Linked DNA regions of Drosophila melanogaster. The protein of the gene in region 3 interacts with the protein of the main gene of each other region in a pairwise test. Each region holds a gene or a part of one and is shown on either strand. Other genes may lie near its edges.

The links.
Region 1: the proteins of Alg3 (region 3) and corolla interact in a two-hybrid assay, tested with the Drosophila melanogaster proteins (one large-scale study listed by BioGRID).
Region 2: the proteins of Alg3 (region 3) and Rchy1 interact in a two-hybrid assay, tested with the Drosophila melanogaster proteins (one large-scale study listed by BioGRID).

Annotation. Positions count from the first base shown.
Region 1 is NC_004354.4:17,629,210-17,633,774, forward strand, and holds corolla (corolla), read right to left. Parts: upstream 2,839-4,565; 5' UTR 2,791-2,838; coding exon 2,673-2,790; intron 2,609-2,672; coding exon 2,318-2,608; intron 2,161-2,317; coding exon 1,973-2,160; intron 1,921-1,972; coding exon 853-1,920; 3' UTR 582-852; downstream 1-581. Other genes in the region: CG8326 (uncharacterized protein), read right to left, coding at 1-62, 132-214; ND-24 (NADH dehydrogenase (ubiquinone) 24 kDa subunit), read left to right, coding at 3,213-3,251, 3,381-3,899, 4,054-4,224.
Region 2 is NT_033779.5:6,459,618-6,467,552, reverse strand, and holds the start of Rchy1 (ring finger and CHY zinc finger domain containing 1), read left to right. Parts: upstream 1-1,883; 5' UTR 1,884-2,024; intron 2,025-3,413; 5' UTR 3,414-3,709; coding exon 3,710-4,291; intron 4,292-6,836; coding exon 6,837-6,998; intron 6,999-7,071; coding exon 7,072-7,230; intron 7,231-7,558; coding exon 7,559-7,837; intron 7,838-7,905; coding exon 7,906-7,935. Other genes in the region: HemK1 (HemK methyltransferase 1), read left to right, coding at 1-154, 214-734, 789-1,029.
Region 3 is NT_033778.4:23,704,869-23,711,654, forward strand, and holds Alg3 (ALG3, alpha-1,3- mannosyltransferase), read right to left. Parts: upstream 4,925-6,786; 5' UTR 4,846-4,924; coding exon 4,560-4,845; exon of another isoform or gene 4,309-4,559; intron 4,159-4,308; exon of another isoform or gene 3,991-4,158; coding exon of another isoform or gene 3,762-3,990; intron 3,718-3,761; exon of another isoform or gene 3,624-3,717; coding exon of another isoform or gene 2,286-3,623; exon of another isoform or gene 2,045-2,285; intron 1,910-2,044; coding exon 663-1,909; 3' UTR 571-662; downstream 1-570. Other genes in the region: l(2)dtl (lethal-(2)-denticleless), read left to right, coding at 1-350; CG5504 (uncharacterized protein), read left to right, coding at 2,286-3,619, 3,762-3,990. UniProt on the Drosophila melanogaster protein: Probable alpha-1,3-mannosyltransferase involved in the N-glycosylation pathway. Involved in glycosylation of the TNF receptor grnd, regulating its ligand affinity. Required for normal epithelial growth and architecture.

The DNA.
Region 1 (4,565 bases), on a different chromosome or scaffold from region 3:
ACTTAAAGGACACCTGCTGCTCATCCTTTTTCACAGGCGGATTGTTCGTTACTTTGGAAAGTCTGAAATGTGAAATGGTGCAGATATTAGTTTAGCTGCCTTTTTCGACTGACTTGCCACTATGAACAAACTTCTTCTCCTTCTGTTCCAGCTGCTTGAGGGGATCACGGACGCCGTGGTGCTTGCGCACGGGAATCTTTCGTTTCCGAGCCATTTATTTTGGGTTTTGGTTCAATTTTTGTAAAACAAACTCGTGGTATCGACAGCATGGGTTAAAATACTAAGCGCGATGCATGCTGACAAATACCAAAACAAACCATAAATATACCAAATCGATTAAAGCTTGGACTCAAACCATTGGCGCCCAGAATTACAAATGAAATATTAAAGTTAAATATATATTAGATTAAATATATAAATGTATTTTACACTATGTATTGTATTAAGTAGTCTTCATATTCCCCTATTTTATAATATACATTTTTAATAAAGATTTATATGCTGTAATGAGAAAAGTATTTTATTGCAAGTGGTAAAATTTACTGTTTGCAGTAAAATTAAATATTTAAAGTCACGAATTTGTCTTAATTTATTGTTTTATTAGTTTATAAGCAACGACAAAATGAAGAATAAGTCTGAAACGGCACTTTCGAACTGAATACGTATGATTTAAATGTACATATGCATATTATGTACGCAAATTAATTTCATTATAAAGCTACAAATAATTTAGCTGAAGTGAAATTTTTTTTGATTGCAAATGGCAATGAATGAATAAGTATCTGGATATTAATTAATTGTCCGTTCTTATAAAGAACATACATTAATTTTTGACCAAAATACGTTAACAATTTAAAGTATGTACGCCGAGGCGGCAGTAGGTGTAACATCATTATCATCGCTGAAGTTCAGCAGGTAATCATCGTCAAAATTGTTGTGGGGCGAGCTGAATCGAAGTGATTGATCATCAAAGTTGTTGAATGTGGACGACGGATGCTTAAAGTAATCCGGCATTGGTTGGCTCATTGGGAACTCCTCCTCCTCCAATTTTAGTCGCTTGCAAGGCGGCGCCTCGTTTTCATCGCGATTGCTACCATAGTTCATAAACTGGGTTGCAGTAAAACGATTAAGAGTGCCCTTGGAGGTGCTGGGTATATCGTCGCTGGCCCAGGAAGATATGTTTTTGAAGGGAGAGAGAGTGTCGACTCTAATTATTTGTGGTTTATCGGAAATTTCATTGGATAGCTGCTCATCAGTCTTCGGGTTTTCGCCGATTTTTACTTGTTTGGCCGCATCAGCCGGCTCCTCCTCTCCTGAAGCCTCCCCTCCGGATTCCTTGTCATCCGATACGGATTCCTCGACTTCTGAGCCAGATTTCTCATCATATCTATCCTGTTCTAGATGCAAAACCTCTTCTGACTTTTCTACTTTTACCTCCTGCTCAAATCCTTCATCTTTCAGCGCCATTTCGAATTCTTCTTCTGATATTTCCTCAAAATCTTCGTCTGTGGCCTCCATTTCGTCACTGTCCTCTTCTAATTCCGCATTTGGGACACCTGCCTCTTCTGAAGGAGAAAGCCAATCGGTCTTCTCAAATTTCTCCTCTTCGATATGGCTTATCTCTGGATAGGGAGAAAAACGCACTTGCTTTGTTGGCGAGTTGGAAATGGCAACAGACTCGACCTCCTTGCATTTGATCAAAATGGATCGCAGAGGAGTCTCCAGCTTCTTAGTAGTGATCTCTCTATTCACGCTCGTCATGGATTTATTGTCATCTGGTCTGATATTCTTAAAGATGAAGTTGTTGAGGAAATCCGAAGCGGACTGAAATGGTGAAATGGTGCTAGCGGATGGAACACCAGCCAAACTTGGTTCAGCGCCCTTAGTGACACCCGTTTTAATCAAATTCCTTTTTTGCAACTGAAAAACGGAAAAGTTATTCACTTGGAATGGATATTTCGCAGCTACTCACCTCTTCCTTCAATTCGTTTATCAGCTTTCCCATCTGTAAAACGCTGACTATCTTCTTATTAAGCTTATCCGTCATACTTCTCAGCGTAATTGTCCACTCGCGATCCGACTGGTCCAGTTGGTCGTCCACTGAGGCTAGCTCCTTATCTGCCTCTTTTTTTAAGGCTTGCTCTTTTCGGAATTCCTGGACTGAAATAGAAGCTACTTGAGAATCATTTAAATAACACAAATGAACTTATACTATCACATAGGGTAAAAAATATTAAACAAAATGTTTTTTATTGTTTATGATTATATAGCATTCAAATGGATTCCGTATTCAATAATACCTCATACAAAATCTTACCGATGCTGCGCGATTCGAGGATTGTGTTCTGCTGATTCTCTTGCTCGGCCAAATCCTCCTGCAGCTTAATTTTGCGCTGGAACTCCTGCTCCTTGCGATGCACCGTGTAGTAGAGGATGTCCTGCAGCCCGGCCATTTCGAGCAGCTCCTCAATTCGCGTGATCTGGAACATACAGTCCTGTATCATGGTGTTGGCCTGTGCCATACCGGCACCGTTATCCTCCACTACCAAGGCGCACTGCTTGACCAAGGTCAGGTCGAATAGCACCTGCTCCAAACGCGGCCCTACAACTGAACAAGCAGAAACATGTATGTATAAATCTTACTTGGAGATTCGCGCATTATGCCCACTCACTCTGCTCCTCGACGATCAATTCTTTCCTTTTCTTGAGTTCCTTCTCGAGCTGCGCCATTTTGGTATCTTTTGGCCAATTTTGCCCCATAAATTCTTTGACAAGTGGATATTTTTCCATATTTTGTCCGTTCAATGTTTCCCCCCGATAAGCTTACAAGTTTGCGCGTTCAGTAATTTATCGGATATCGAATGCTAAGGCACAGCGATCATTGTTGAAAAGTGTCATAGATACTGAAGTCACAGCGATATATATCGCTTACTGTTTTAGAAAACTTATTTTAAAAAGGAATAAAAAAATGTAACGTACCGCTGAATATTAATTTAATTACAAGTTTTATTTGTTTAAGCTTTTTTTTATTAATGTTGTACAAGATTTGTAGAGATTTGCTCATCTCTGACGACAAGTGCCAGTGTTGGCAAACGCTCCGCCGAAAATCAGCTGTAAGCGGTGCTTGTTAAAAAAAAACTGACAGCAGCCGACGGACTTCACATAACATAAGAGCAAATTTTCAGCCTTTTCATTATTTTGGAAACGCCAGAATGCTGACAAACTGTGCCTCCAAAACACTGGCCGCCGTGGTGAGTAGCGCAGCCATCCAAACTGTCCAGTAATTCGCGGTGTCAACCAGGGAAGGCAACCTGTTCCCCGAGTTATATAATTGGCGACAGGAAAACAATAACATTAAGGATATGTGTTGTTATTTGCAGCGCGCCAACATCCGGGCAATTGCCACCAGCAGTGCCCGGGCCAGCGACAATCTGTTCGTCCATCGCGACACACCGGAGGATAATCCCAACATCCCGTTCGAGTTCACGGCGGAGAACAAGAAGCGCGTGGAGGCCATACTCAGCATCTATCCGGAGGGGCACAAGCGCGGCGCCATGATCCCGCTGCTTGATCTGGCACAGCGCCAGTACGGCTGGCTGCCAATCTCTGCCATGCACAAGGTGGCCGAGATTCTCCAGTTGCCCAATATGCGCGTCTACGAGGTGGCCACTTTCTATACGATGTTCATGCGCAAGCCCACTGGCAAGTATCACATCCAGGTGTGCACCACCACACCATGCTGGCTCCGCGGATCGGACGACATCCTGGAGACCTGCAAGAAGCAGCTGGGCATCGGCGTCGGCGACACCACCAAGGACAGGAAGTTCACCATCTCGGAGGTCGAGTGCTTGGGCGCCTGTGTCAATGCGCCAATGGTGGCGATCAACGATGACTACTATGTAAGCAATTCTAATTGCTAAATGTGTTTCCTGGTCATTTGTTTGTAGGAAACGCCAGTTTCACTCTCAGCCTCGTCCAGCGTTTCAATCTTAATGCGCTGAAATCGACTCTATATTGTGCAAACATTGCTAACGTTTTTTTTTTACTTTGCAGGAGGATCTGACATCCAAGGACATGCAGGACATCCTGAACGACCTGAAGGCGGATAAGATATCGCCCCCTGGGCCACGCAACGGACGCTTTGCCAGCGAGCCAAAGGGCGAGCCCACTTCCCTGAGCGAGGAGCCCAAGGGTCCTGGCTTTGGTCTGCAGGCCGGTCTGTAGAGGATGAGCAAGGAGCAGAACCTATCACTGATTGTCGAACGAAAGTTAAATAAATGTTAAGCAACTTATAGAGGTCATTGATAAAGGATTTTTGGATTTTTTTTTAAAAATATGCTCACTTTCCATTGGAAAGTTTCCATTTTGAAAGGTTACACATAAAATAATAACTCCCAACGAACTCGAGAATACTAGTACATTCAATTAGATGTGGAAGATCGCCAGAACCCCAATGCAAGCCAAATGTGCGTTTTTCATATCTTGACCAATAAATGATTTTATTTTGTAGTGGAAACGGCAGGTTCCCATTGCTAATTATAATGGATGTTTACTATTGCATACGT
Region 2 (7,935 bases), on a different chromosome or scaffold from region 3:
CAACTATGGCACAAATGCCCCAGCTGGCACCCACATTCCCGTGACCAAGGCCCTGGAAATTGGACAGTGGGAGGAAAAGCTCAAGGCCGCCGGCGTCGAGGACAGGAAGTTCAACGTGAAATGCATCGTGTCGCATGTCCTGAAGCAGAAGTTTGTAAGTATCTGTGAGAAAAGCTGGCTATCAACATCACTAACCATGTTTACGTTCCGTAGAGTTCGGTTCCTGACTCATTTGACCAGCTGCAGCTAAATCCCGGCCAGCTGGCGGATTTCGAGCGCTTCCTGGAGGCCCGTTGTGCCCGCATGCCGTTGCAGCACATCATTGGCGAGTGGGACTTCATGGACATTACGCTGAAGACATCGCCGTCGGTCTTCATTCCACGCCCCGAAACGGAGGAGTTTATGCGCCTGGTGATCGATGATCACAAGAACGCAAAGCACGTCGATCTTTTGGAGGTGGGCTGCGGCTCGGGCGCCATGTCCTTGTCCATGCTACACAGTCTGCCGCAGGTGGTGGCCACTGCCATTGAGCGTAGCAAGGCGGCAACCGTTCTGGCTGCGGAGAATGCCAAAATGCTGGGGCTGCTGAATCGATTTGAGGTACACAACCACACCATGGAGGAGGACAAGTACCTGCCGGAGGCGCTGAAGGACAAGAAGTACGATTTGATCATCTCCAATCCTCCGTATGTGAAAACTGAGGAGTTTCAGTTTCTGCATCCCGAAGTCGTGGTGTAAGTGATGTTATACCAGATGGATGCAGTGCACTAACTATCTTATATCCCCAGGTATGAGAACCTTAATGCCCTGGACGGTGGGTCCGATGGATTGAGGGTGGCTCGACTGGTTTTCGACTTGGCTTGTCGGCACCTGCGTCCCGGTGGCAAGCTCTGGCTGGAACTGGGCAACGACCACCCGCCGATGGTGAAGACCATTATGAATCTGAAGTACGAGGGCCGGCTCAAGTTCATCGCCGGCTACAGTGACCAGTATCAGCGCGAGAGATTCGTTCAGATCGAGAAGGTCTAGGCGAGATTGCGCCATAGACAGGACGGAATGCTATGACTTTGACAATGCAATTAGCTATAACGTTGCCCATGCATTTAGCTGTGATTTGATTTAAGACCAGACATACCTGCACGCTGCCCAGAGACTCACACCTATATAAACAGAATATATAGCGCTATTAATCCTTAAGTTTCGTCTCTGAATCTTTTAGCAACAACCGCAGGCGGTATTACTTCACAAATATACCTGTATAAATTGCACAATGCAATTAGCTGTTTGATTTATGACCATATTATTATCAGTATACAAAAACCACAACGACTTTTACCTAAGGCTTTCTACTGCATTTTTGATCCTATAATAATGGATTAACATGATTTTAAAGATCAATAGGTTAAAAGTATAATGCACCTATAATAACTGGTCACTGATTTAAACTATGGCGATTATGATTTATAACCAGAGGCTTGCTGCCATAAATTGGAGGGTGTTAATGATCATCGCGGATCGAGTATAATGCTGTTTAATCAAACTGATGTATTCTATATCTGCGATAAGCAAAATGCTAACCATATTTTTGGCCTGAAAGATGTGTATCCTGTCAATATATAGAATCAGAATATTTCTATGCAAATTAGAAAGTTTTTGCTTAAAGTTACCACTTTAATGCTTATAGGTGTACTGATTATGAAAACAAGGACACATGTCCACAAGGATTACCATAATTATGAACCCGAGTGCATAAATCCCCCGACTTCGCATCTGAATCTTGTTGTAACCGCTCCGCTGGAGAGCTTTAAGCTCCGGAGCGGATAAAAGCTCCGACAGAGTGGCTCGGAGCAACAAGTGGCTAACTTCCGTTGCCAGTTGGAAGTCGAAACTCGCGCCGGACGAGTCTGCGGAATCCGGGTGCGCGAGTGGAACGCGGATTTAGATTGTCGTAGCTCTTTAATTCAATTGACGATTTCGAGCTGCGATCTCCTTCGTTCGGCTGGTGTGTGTTGTTTCACTTTCAAGTACGCATACATATGTGTAGTATAATTAACAAATGGCTAAATCATAATTAAAGTCGGAGTTTCAGTGGATATCACAATGAGCGCTTGATGAAAGTCAAGAAGAGGGAACTTAAAAAGCGCCGAAACAAAACAAAAACGAGAAACACGTTAAACGAGAAATTGATTTTAAAAATTCTACATAAATTTGACCATATAGATTTGGGTAAATGAATGAATGTGCATATATATGTACATGTATATATATATACATACGCCCAAACTGCGATTTGAAGGCGGTTTGAATGTGGATTGGAAACTTTTAGAAACCAATTAGCCAGATCGTGACATTACTTAATGCATTTATCCGCCCGATCGACGCGTGCAAGTGTGTGCCTGTGTGCGTGAGTGCGTGCGTGCGTAAACATGAATACCGAATTGAATCGAGTTCAAACTTGCGTTCTTTTCGCCGACTGGTTTTCCGGCGAGGCTGGCTTAATCGCCTTGCGTTTGTAATTTTAGCACACTTTCAATATTTATTGTCGGTCCCTGCTCCCCGGCGCAGAAAATGCGAATAACAATCTGAGCAAACAAGATTCGGCAACGAATTTGCAGCTTGCCGCGCTGTGCAAATAAAAGTATATATAAAAGTATGTACATATATACATTTATATATAGCTGGTAATGCCTCCTTTGGCAGCATCAATATGTGCACCTGCTACGTGCAACACCGACTTGCAGCAACAGCCAACCGATGAGCGAAAGTCGCACGCCGATTGTGTTAACAAGTGTGTGGCTGGCTGCTCCCTGCCCGCATTTTAATTCATCATCCGCACCGTGTGCCAAGGCACTGCGATTCCCAATCCGTGGAGCTGTGAACGTTTTTGGCGACCTGCAGGCTAAGCAAGCGATTTATATGCTGCCGCTCACATGGCACAAGGTCCCATCCAAAAACAGCAGCGGCCAAGATAGTAGTTCATATGCACATATTTGGGTTCTTAACAGGTTAATTGTCATTTTATAATGATATGGGTTTAATAGGTTTCCATATCTGATCCAAAACTATACAGAAATGGAAGAAAGTCATCATAGGTGATCTTTTATTTGATAATTTCTTACATAAAGTTACTACTTCTTGTTCCCCATTGTACGTTGTGTACAGTGCGCGACGGCTAAGAAAACGGAGTGAAAATCAAGATAGTCGTTATCTAGTTTAGATGGCCTTTCGCAGTCGGGGACTGGGAAACATTGAAATGCAAATACGCCGCCTCGGTAGTTTCATTTGTGTGTCAAAAATTGTGTGGGGGTGTGGGGGGTTAACCCGGCTTAGACTCTAATCTGATCGATCGGAGTGTGAGAAATGGCCTGCTAATGGAATACTTACCACTTTCCCACACTTTTCAATCGCTTCAGCCGAGTGTGTCACCTGTGCGAGCCCATTAATACCCAAGGATGAGCTGGACAAACGAAAGTTAGTTGCGATCGCGTGAAAAGGGAAACCGGACAGTCGGTTTTTTGAGTGCGGATACAAAGTCTACATGTGGCACAACGACAACAGCATCGGCCAGTAATTTAAATGCTTCGCGGCGGCAATTGAAAGGGCCAGCAATTAACCACGACTACTGCAGCTGCGAGGCATAGTGGAAAATCACTTTTATAGACGTACATACATAACTCTATATATACATAGAGTTAGCTCCTGCAGCAAAATGAAGAACCGCCAGCGAACGCGCCGAATATCGCTAAATGAAAACCACAACAGATACATGGGCAGCGGCGGCATCGATGTACAAATAGTTACCAATACAAAGGAGCCCAATCAAGTCAATTTAAATTCATCGTCAGCCACGACGACCTCAGCGGAGGCTGCTCTGCCCGCTTCGCTTCCACTTGCTCAGATAGCGCAGCAGCCACATACCCATCCCCATCCCCATCCCAATCCCCATCTCCACCAGCAACACCAGCTGATTGTGACGCCCACAACGATGACGGGCAAGTATCATCCAGCGCACGCCAAGCTGCGAAGATGCAAATCGACGCCGAGTCTCAATTGCGATGGCATGGCGGAGCCCATGGAGGAGGACCAGCTCCATCGCTTTGCAGCATGCTCACGTAACCCCGCCGCGGAGGCTCAGCAGCATGCACAGCCATCGTGCAACAGCAGCAGCAGCAGCAGCGACGGCAGCTGCAACAGCAACAAGTGCAGCAGCAACATCTGCGGTGCGCAGCCAACAACTCCGGAGTCATTGCGCTTCGGATGCGCTCACTACAAGCGGCGGGCCATGTTCGTGGTAAGTGCAACAGGCAGTCCAACTCCATTCATATTATCTATGGATGCTTTTCCAAGCATTACATAAAAGGAAAAGCCCCAGAAAAGTTATAAAAGTTATACACTTGAACTTCTTTGATATGTATATCAATACAAATTTTAATCCTTTTTTAGTGTATCGTAGTATCTATAACCATTCTTAAGATTAGTAGATAGATGTTCGTAGAAAGACTAGACGGATCCATGTATCTAGCAGTCTTACTTGTAGTGAGATTAGTTTATTCAAACCTCAAATGTGAAACCAGTCAACTTATGTGATATAAGAACAAACTTCAATTTTGAAAGTTCTTTTTTTATTTTATACGGGTATAGTTCAATTCCTGGGTCATCAGATAAAGAATTATGCAATTGGAACCCCTATGTCATGATTAGAAAGCGGATCAGTCATTTCACTTTTATAAAATGAATCCTAAAAATACATTGAAATAAATTCAAAGTGATAAAGCCATTAAACATTTCACCCATTTGGAAAATTTTCAAGAAGATTATGATGGCGCCTCTAAATGGCATTTGTATGCCTATTTATCCATCTATCTATCTATGTGTGTGTGTGTGTCTATCCAACACAGCTACCTTCCTGAAAATGGGCGCATTTAACCTTTATTTATTCGTTCCTAAACAAATAAAGTGGCTAAACTCTAAACAGACACCTTTGGCGAAGATTCTTTTGTGTCTGTCTGCTGACTAGATTTTGAATTCAATTGGAGGGCATCGCTATTTGCACGGCAAGTGTTTGGCTTGTGTGGACAGCTTGACGATGTCCGGCATCCAAAAAACTAACTGGTCAGCATGCTCCGCTGAGCAGGAACTGAGCAGGAGGCGAGTGGCCACTGGCCAGTTAACACCTCCATTCGCCATTCATCTGGGCAAACAATGCGTTTGTCTTGATCGCTCGCGTTTGGATAACAAATTATGGGGCATCTAAAAATGTTGTGTGTGCATATAAAGCAATCGTAGCACGGCTATATTCAGGTTCTTTACCTTAACAATTAGTAGAGCCAGCAGACATAATTATCGTAAGGTGATAAGTACAGAAGTTCGAAGGTGGGAAAAGTAACTCAGTGCTGGGGAAAGTGGTAACCATTTCATGTATAAAGTATCTCATGCAGAGAAGACTGCAGCTGCACTTGATTAGATAGATTTGTTTGTGAATGACCTGGATTATTAAATAAAGAAAAAGAAAGTTAAATGTAAATATTTAAATACTTATAATTCCAACAGTAGTGAGCGCTTATTTGTTGTTGAAAAGCAGCCAATTCGCGATATGAATTATTAATTCCCCAAAAATTCTGTATTATGCGCTATGGCCTTACAATACTTTCCAAAAAATGTCACGTAAATCCGTACACACGCTTCAATCTGTCCCACATTTTAATAAAATTCGAATGTAGAGGTTTTTGCTTTCGTCTGTGCACCGCGAGAAATTCGGATAAGCGAGGGTTTTGTGCACTAATGAGGTGCCCATTGAGTGTTGAATCAGCTGGGTTATTTTATAGTCAAATATTTATTTTCGCCCGACAGTGCGTGAAATAAATGTATACATGAATGTGGACATAAGCTGAGAGCAGTATGTGCAATCCCCCAAGTGGAGCAATGCCCCATGGATATCGCCTGTTCCCGCGAATCTTGTATCAATTTGTGTTAGAAGCTTTGTTTCGTCTTGGCTAAATAAATTTGAGATGTCTGGAGTTAGCCAATTGCAGATGCAAACGATCATTAAAATACGATCGTTAGTGAAGCACAGCAATGAAAGCCGGGGGGAATGACAAAGAAACCGGATTCGAAGACTCTTCTCCGGTTCGGTTCTGTACTTCGAGTGTTATCATCGCAGCAGCAGCAGAGTTGAAATAAATACTTGTATACGAAAAAACTGTTGTTAAGTTATAAATAATTCTCAAAGATAGTGGAGATAGATGTGTGCGCGAGGCTGGAGGCAGATACAAATGGCTGGGTGTTGGCTGTAACTAAGCCGAACTCGAGGATACACAAGATAATTAAGGGCATAAATTAACTTATTTTCAAACTTTATCCCCAAGACAAAACTGATAGAACTATATCATGTAGTTCGAGCTGTGCATCGACAGGTGAACTAATTAGCAGCCACCTAATTAAACGACACGAGTACCTTTGGCATCTTTACAATCGGATTGGGATTCACCCGCTGATTTGACTCGAAATTCGTACAAAATTCGATTCAGTTTCAAGTGCCTTGTTTATGATAATGCTAAGTTATTGCCTTTGGCATGTAGACGTCACTAGTAGATTTGTTTTTTAGTCGGTTTCCAGGCAGATTTCTTAAATTAGCAACTCCATTTGGGGAGTTAGGAGTCGTGCTAATTGCCGCTCGATAATAGGTTTTTCGTAGTCCTTGACTGAGGGGTGTAGTCCATCGGCAGGTGTGGCGGGGAGCAATCTCAGCTCCATTTAAAGTGGAATTTTTTCGAGCAGCGATTTCTTTTCAGCACTAATTTGATCTGATACTGATCACGCAACTATATCTTTCTCAGACCCCCTGCTGCAACAAGTTCTACAAGTGCCGATTTTGCCACGACGAGAACGAGACGCATCACTTCGATCGCAAAACGCTCACCGAACTAATATGCTCCGAGTGCAATACGCGGCAAACGGTGCGGGAGCAGTGCCTCAATTGCGGCGTGAGATTTGGTAAGGTAAGATATCCATCCAGGTGTCCAAAAATCACAGCAAAACCCTACTAGTAATATCATTTTGATGTACTTACAGTACACCTGCCTGATCTGCAACCTCTTCGATGATGCGGACAAGCAGCAGTACCATTGTCATGGATGTGGGATTTGTCGCATTGGCGGTGCGGAGAACTTCTTCCACTGCGAGGTGTGCAACATGTGCCTACCTATTCAGCTGAAGATCGATGGCCACCGGGTGAGTTGGTACTACATTTGGCACTTCATTGGGCTTGATTAAGATTTGGCCTGTAAGTGGGAATGCTGACCTCCGCGATTCGAAAGCAAATCAAAGAAACACATTAACTTTTTTTTTTTTTTGTCAATTCATTACCAAAACCGGTTGCCTAATTGCTATATGTAGCGATATATGATCTGCGATCTGCAATCTGGGATCCAGTTGAGTGGATATGAATGTCAAATGTGCTGAAGCAATGACTTCATTAATTGACAGCGAATTGGGCCAGAGACTGGCATGGCTGATTGCTAAATCCTTGCTAATTGACAACGTGTCTATTTTCCCGTAGTGCGTGGAGAACATCTCGCGATCGCACTGCCCCGTGTGCCTGGGCGACATCCACACTTCGCGCATACCCTGCCACATTCCCGACTGCGGACACCTGCTGCACAAGATGTGCTTCGACCAGCTGCTGGCCTCCGGCCACTACACCTGTCCCACCTGCCAGACCTCGCTGATCGATATGACGGCGCTGTGGGTATACTTGGACGACCAGGCGGAGCGCATGCCGGTGCCACTGAAGTACGAGAATCAGCGAGTGCACATATTCTGCAACGATTGTCACAAGGTACGACTAGATATACATAATACTAACATTCATGAAAAGCTCTTATAACCTTATCCAATTCATTACAGACTTCAAAAACCAAATTCCATTTCATCGGA
Region 3 (6,786 bases):
CATCCCCGCGCCTCCAGAGTCTGCGGCAGTCAGAGTGCAGTCCCAGGATACACGCCTCGCCCCGCAGACGCATCTCCCATACGGACGGAGGCGGTGGCACGCCGGCTGGCAGCTCCTCGCACTCCCATTCCCAATCCCAGCCAAAAACGCCCACTTCCAGTAGGCGAAACAGCGAGACGACGCTCCTGCGATTCTTTAGCATTCAGAGAAGTAGCAGTGTGCCGGCGGAGGAAACAACGACAACGAATGCGGCTCCCTCCTCTTCTGATCCCCATCCCCCGGCAGTGACTGCGCCCGCAGCCACGCCCCTCAGCATGCGCACGCCCACGACGGCGGTGGGCAGCGATTGACGCGGAGCCTCGAGCCACAGCACCATTATTGCACTTGTAGTTTTAAGCGGACATTGTTTAAGTTATTTTATGTAGATAGTAGGTTGCATCTATCGCGGGACGAGTTGGTAACCAACTCCCCGCCCTCTGTACAGAGCCAAAAGATACGAAAGACTAACGTACCCGAATAAAAGTAACTCCATTTTAAAGCTGCCTTGATTGATTCTCTAAAAACTAACTCGTTTAATGTACTGTTTATTCAATTTTTTTTTTGGCATAATCAAAACGGTTTATATGTGGCACTCATGGCTAACAAGTGGCACTCAGACCATTTTACTGCAGCTTTTTCTGTTGCTCCTGCTGCTCCCTCTTGGCCGCATTATTAATCCGCATGGTCTGGACAAGCTGCTTGGCCACCCCAGCGAGCAGTATGATGTGGGTGAAGTGAAGGGCAGCGCTGGAGAAGTTCGTACTGGGATAGGTGTTCCAGCAGTACTCAATCAGTCCGAGGATCAGGCAGCGCACGCCCAGCGAGTACGGCGTCGACCAGGCCAAATAGGGTAGCGAGTGGAAGTACCAGACGTAGAACTGATAGTGCAAGGATCGGGAGCAGGCCACGCCCACCAGGTTGCACAGGAAGAACGGCAGCAGGGCCAGCTGGGTGCAGCGATCGAAGTGGATGCCATAGCGTTCCGGTTCCGCCTGTGCGGGTGCCGGAGTGGCCTTTCCTCCAGACGCCTTCTGCAGGCTCTTCTCGAAGGCCTTCAGGAAGGATTGCTGCTCGGTTGTAAACTTCTTCTGGTCCTTGTCCTTGTCCTTTTCCACTTTCTTTGGTCTTTTCTGCGCGTTCAGCTCGAGGTTCTGCTGGGCTATTTGCGGCTGCAGCTGATCCTCAATACGGCGCAGGCGCACGTAGCTCTGGAAAAAGGTCCAAGTGGGCTTGGCGAAGGCCAGCAGGAGCAGCAGATGCAGGCCCAAAAGCGAAACGTGGAAGGTGCGGTTCTCGAACAGATCTCTGCTCAGGAAGCGATAGTTGACCGTCCACTTGTGCTCGAAGATGCGTCCCAAATCAAAGCTGCCCCGCAGATACTCCACAGGATGGGTGAGCAGGAAAGGAGCGCCCAGCAGCAGTTGTATCACTCCGCAGACAGCCAGCTGCAGGATCGTCCGCAGAAGTCCCAGGTTGGCCAAGTAGAACAGCAAGAGCGCAGGCGCAAACAGCAGGATGTTCATCTTAACGCCCACCGCCAAGCTGAAGAAGGTGCTACCCAGGGTCCACCTTCTGTCCAGGAACAAATTGAGTGCGGCATAGAGGAGCAGCACTGCCACCGGATCGTTGAACAGTCGCAGCACGTATATCGAGTGGATCCGATACGACGTGAAGGCACTGAGCACTAGCACATACGGCGGCACCTTTCTGCTCTTCGAGTACAGCCTCAGCACCAGGGCCAGCTGGAGCAGGTAGATCCCGGCGAAGATGTACTGCGCCAGGCGAACGTTCGTTCCGTGGGACGTGACGTAGTAGAGAGCCGAGTAGATGTACACGAAGGCGGCTGGATACACAAGAGGTCCTGTGTCGCCTAGGAAATCGAAAATCGAAGAATTTCAATTATCATAAATTAGATAGAAGGAATGCAATTAGTCATTGTTTTCATTCACTAAGCAGTTATTTCAGTCTGTTTGGGCCTGGGAAAACTATTATATCCATTGAGTTACACTTCATATTTATTTTAAAGGCAAAACTTTAGTTAACTTATTTAATATACGGCTTTTTTAACTTTAACGGTATATAACGATATTTCATTCGCTTTCACGCCGGTTGGTATTTTCGCTCGCTACGCACGCGGTCACATTGAGCAAGTGCGAGTGAGAGAGAGAGAGACAGACATTCGTAGGACAGCATGGATGTTACGGCATGTTGTTGAAAAGCTGAAAATCTGATACTTTTATGGAAAAATGATGATTTCGTGTAAAAAATTATTCGTGTTCCGGCAGCTGCCGGCGGTGCGCCGTTGCCTAGCGGCAGCCGCGTTCTCCACGCCACGCGCGACCTCCTACCGAATCCTCTCCAGCGCCGGGAGCGGAAGTACCCGGGCAGACGCACCCCAAGTGCGCCGCCTGCACACCACGCGCGACCTCCTGGCCAAGGACTACTACGCCACGCTGGGCGTTGCCAAGAACGCCAACGGCAAGGACATCAAGAAAGCCTACTACCAGCTGGCCAAGAAGTACCATCCGGACACGAACAAGGAGGATCCGGATGCGGGCCGCAAGTTCCAGGAGGTCTCCGAGGCCTACGAAGTGCTCAGCGACGAGCAGAAGCGCCGTGAGTACGACACCTATGGCCAGACGGCGGAAAACATTGGTCGCCAGGGCGGCGGATTCCCTGGCGGAGGAGCCGGTGGCTTTGGCCCCGAGGGTTTCTCGCAGAGCTGGCAGTTCCGCTCGAGCATCGACCCCGAGGAGCTCTTCCGCAAGATCTTCGGCGAGGGCAACTTTCGAACGAACTCGTTCGACGACTTCGCCGACTCCAAGTTCGGATTCGGCCAGGCCCAGGAGATGGTCATGGACCTGACCTTTGCCCAGGCGGCGCGCGGCGTTAACAAGGATGTCAACGTCAACGTGGTGGACCAGTGCCCCAAGTGCGCCGGCACCAAGTGCGAGCCGGGCACCAAGCCAGGTCGCTGTCAGTACTGCAACGGCACCGGCTTCGAAACGGTGTCCACTGGGCCCTTCGTAATGCGCTCCACTTGCCGCTACTGCCAGGGCACGCGGCAGCACATTAAGTATCCGTGCAGCGAGTGCGAGGGCAAGGGCCGCACGGTCCAGCGCCGCAAGGTCACCGTGCCGGTGCCGGCTGGCATTGAGAACGGGCAAACGGTGCGAATGCAGGTGGGCAGCAAGGAGCTGTTCGTCACGTTCCGCGTGGAGCGGAGCGACTACTTCCGGCGCGAGGGCGCCGATGTGCACACGGACGCGGCCATATCCCTGGCCCAGGCGGTGCTGGGCGGCACTGTGCGTGTCCAGGGCGTATACGAGGATCAGTGGATCAACGTGGAGCCGGGCACCTCGTCGCACCACAAGATCATGCTGCGCGGCAAGGGTCTGAAACGCGTGAATGCCCACGGACACGGCGATCATTACGTGCACGTCAAGATCACGGTGCCATCGGCAAAGAAGCTGGACAAGAAGCGACTGGCTCTGATCGAGGCGTACGCCGAGCTGGAGGAGGACACCCCCGGGCAGATCCACGGAATCGCGAATCGCAAAGACGGCAGTAAGCAAGCAACGTAAATAATCTCCCGATCTACCAATGCAATCTCTAAATGTAACTTGGAGCTTGAATTCGTAGTTGAAATATACGTGCGTTCTATGTGCGAGCTTTATTAAATGATGGCGTCTTTCTCTCCCCTTCCCCATCTCTCGTTGCAGCGCAGGAGCGAGTGAGGAGCCAGGAGCGGGAGCAGCTGCTAAAGCCAGTGCAGCAGCCGCCGGATCAGGAGCCTCCAAGCCAGGACCAGGAGCAGAAAAAAGCGAAGGCAAAGACCAGTGGACGGACAACGAGAAAACCAAAGCGAAAGAAGGCGGCGGATCCGGATCCGGACAAGGCGACGGCGGAGGCGGAGGCTTCATAAGCAAGATCAAGTCCATGTTCAACTGACAGGCGTTGGCAACCCGATGGCCGATTCTGTTTTTTTAGTGTCTAAGTTAACGCACGTTATTGTTGCTAATCTAAGTTCGGGCGGGAACCGGGGGAGTGTATTCCAAATACGACTCGGTTCGAGATGAATAAACCAAATTGACCGTCAGTCGGGCAAGTTCTGCGTTTAAGCGAGGCTAACTTCACTTGTCTTAATCTCACGCTGCTCCGATTTTCAGTTGCCTAAAGTTCGTGCCGCATTTGATGTCGTCCAACTCCCCAAATCTCTGTGTTTAACCTTTGATGGTAACTGTGTTCAAACATTTGAACCATATGTCAAACTACTCTCCTCGATTTTGAAAATACTTCAAACTTTAAAGTAACTGAAATATCAATTTTATAAGAATTCCAACTAAAAAAGAGCATAAACTATATAGCTAGTTGGAAATAGGCTATCCCCTTAGTAAGGTAACCTAAAATATCGTTATAACCACATCATGCGAAGAACAACAGGTGCACGCATATGTTTCCGCAACCGGAATGGGGTCACCTGTGGCCAAAAATAAACCAGGAGCGGCGCAGAAACTCACCGCGCAACAGACTGTAGTTGGTGGTGCCGTTCAGGAAGCCCTCGCACTCCTGCATGTAAGCCACCCAGTCGATCTCTGTGTAGGGCACCCGCTGGATGACCACCACGTTGATGACCAGCTCCGCCAGGAGCACGAAGAGGCCAACTATGGGCAGAGCGGCCGGCTCCAGGAGCAGATACTTGAAGAAGCGCACGTTGAGGTACTTGTCCAGGATGGAGTCCACCAGGGTGCCCGACTTCTTGCGCCGCACCGCCGGACGGTGGCTGGCGGCCTTTGGCGGGGCCATTTCTGTGATAACCGGCGAAAATTAATTAAAATTCAACTTGAACCGAAAAACAACCAGGGCGGCACTATCAAAATCAGCTGTTGCGCCTCCCATCGATAGCAGTCCAACTGGATTTTGCATGCTATCGATATTTTCCCAATTTAAATTTGTAGTTCTAACAGCGAGCACCAGTGGCGTCTTCCGCTTCCGGTTGTTGCTTGGTTTTCAAGAAAAGAAAATTTAATTTTATCACGCTGAAAATGCTTTTAAATATTTGTAATTTAATTTTTAAAGTATATTTGGGTTGCTACCTAAATTATTGTGGCCAAAACACGAGTTTTCCAAGGAGGGCTACCTTCATAACTTGGCCAAAAAAAGTCGCACATTCAAAAAAATTACTGTTTTAGACTCCTAATGATCCAAACTAACTATCCCAATCACAATCTTGACGATTTTCAATAATTAAATTTTTGGCCATTTTTTGCATTTTTTGTAAGGGGTTACATCGTTAAAATTTGCAAAAAATTGACAAAAATTAAAATTTTCAAATTTGAATGGGAATCGATTAGGAATGTGAATACAAGTTCAACAAGCTATGACACTCAATATTTGGGCCATAAAATCGATTGTTTTGGCCAAAATACGTATTTTTTGGTTGATTTAAGGGTTCACCTTCATAATTTGGCCAAAAAGAGTTAATGATTCAATACAGTACAATAGAAATATCATTATTTGAGGATTTGCTTGAATTTTATTGAATAGCAATGAGTTTGACAATTGCATTTTGAAACACATCCACTGCTTTTAGTTCCTGCTGAGTATTTACAATTTGAATGGCTGCATTTTTCCTAGCCAGCTGGATGTTGTAAGGCCTGCGGGTGGATTAAACCATAACATATATGTAGTAATTAGCAGAATTCCTACACGGCGAACGCTTCTATTCGGTCAAAATGGGTGGGCCCCATTTGGGGCGGGGGACCGGAACTGCAGGTGGGAATACGCAACAGGTACAAAACCAATCAGCTCATGGCCAATTTGCTGGCCAGATTAACGTCCATCGCTGGCGTCATCCCAATAGCAAACAGTCGGTCGTGGTCCGTGTGCTTTGGCTGGTTTTGCTGGCTTTGGGTGGTTTTTGGGGTGGCTCTGGCGGTTTAACGCATCGCTGAGATGCATTTGCCAGAGGCAAACGGGGTAACATAAGCCGGGCGAGGGTGTGCTCATGCAAACGCAGCTCGTTTATCGGGTTACAACTGATATGGTGGCCATGCCGCAACCACACTTAACCCACCATCGAGCCCACATCCTTTTCAGGACGCAGAACGCAGAACGCAGGACACAGGACCCAGGGCTCGGGACTCTGGACGGGGGAATGGCCCGCACCCAGACCCACCGGGCAATTAAATGTCAACCCACGGATGCGAATGGCTGCCCGATTTTCCGGCGCTGCCCCGCTCTTGTGTGTTTTTTCCGCATTTCGTGATTCATTTATTGTGTCCACTGCAGCGTGTTTGCTCGGAAAAAGAAAAACACGAAATAGTTGGCCCTGTTGTCGCTTTTTCCCGACATTTACCTGTTCAGTCAGCCAGCTGAAACACTGATATGCCACCAATTATCCAAAAAGCGAAAAACTGTAGCGAAAAAAGGTGCACGGCGATTTACAGGAATTTAGCCGGAGGATCCGTGCGAACTGGAATTCAATAACCCATTTTTGTCAGCTACATTTTTTCCAAAAAAAATCTGTTTAAAAACATTTTTGCTACAGATGAGTGGAGTTTTACCGTAAAATTTTTCTGTACTCTGATAATCCTTTGTTTCCCCTTTTTTTTAGCAAAAATGTTGAAGTGTGTCCCTTGATAGCAAAACTAATTATGTATGCCAGCATTAATTAAGCTTATATGCTTGAATACATCATTTCGCTGGAGAAAGAACATGCTCGAGAGAGTAATTCAAATTAAATAT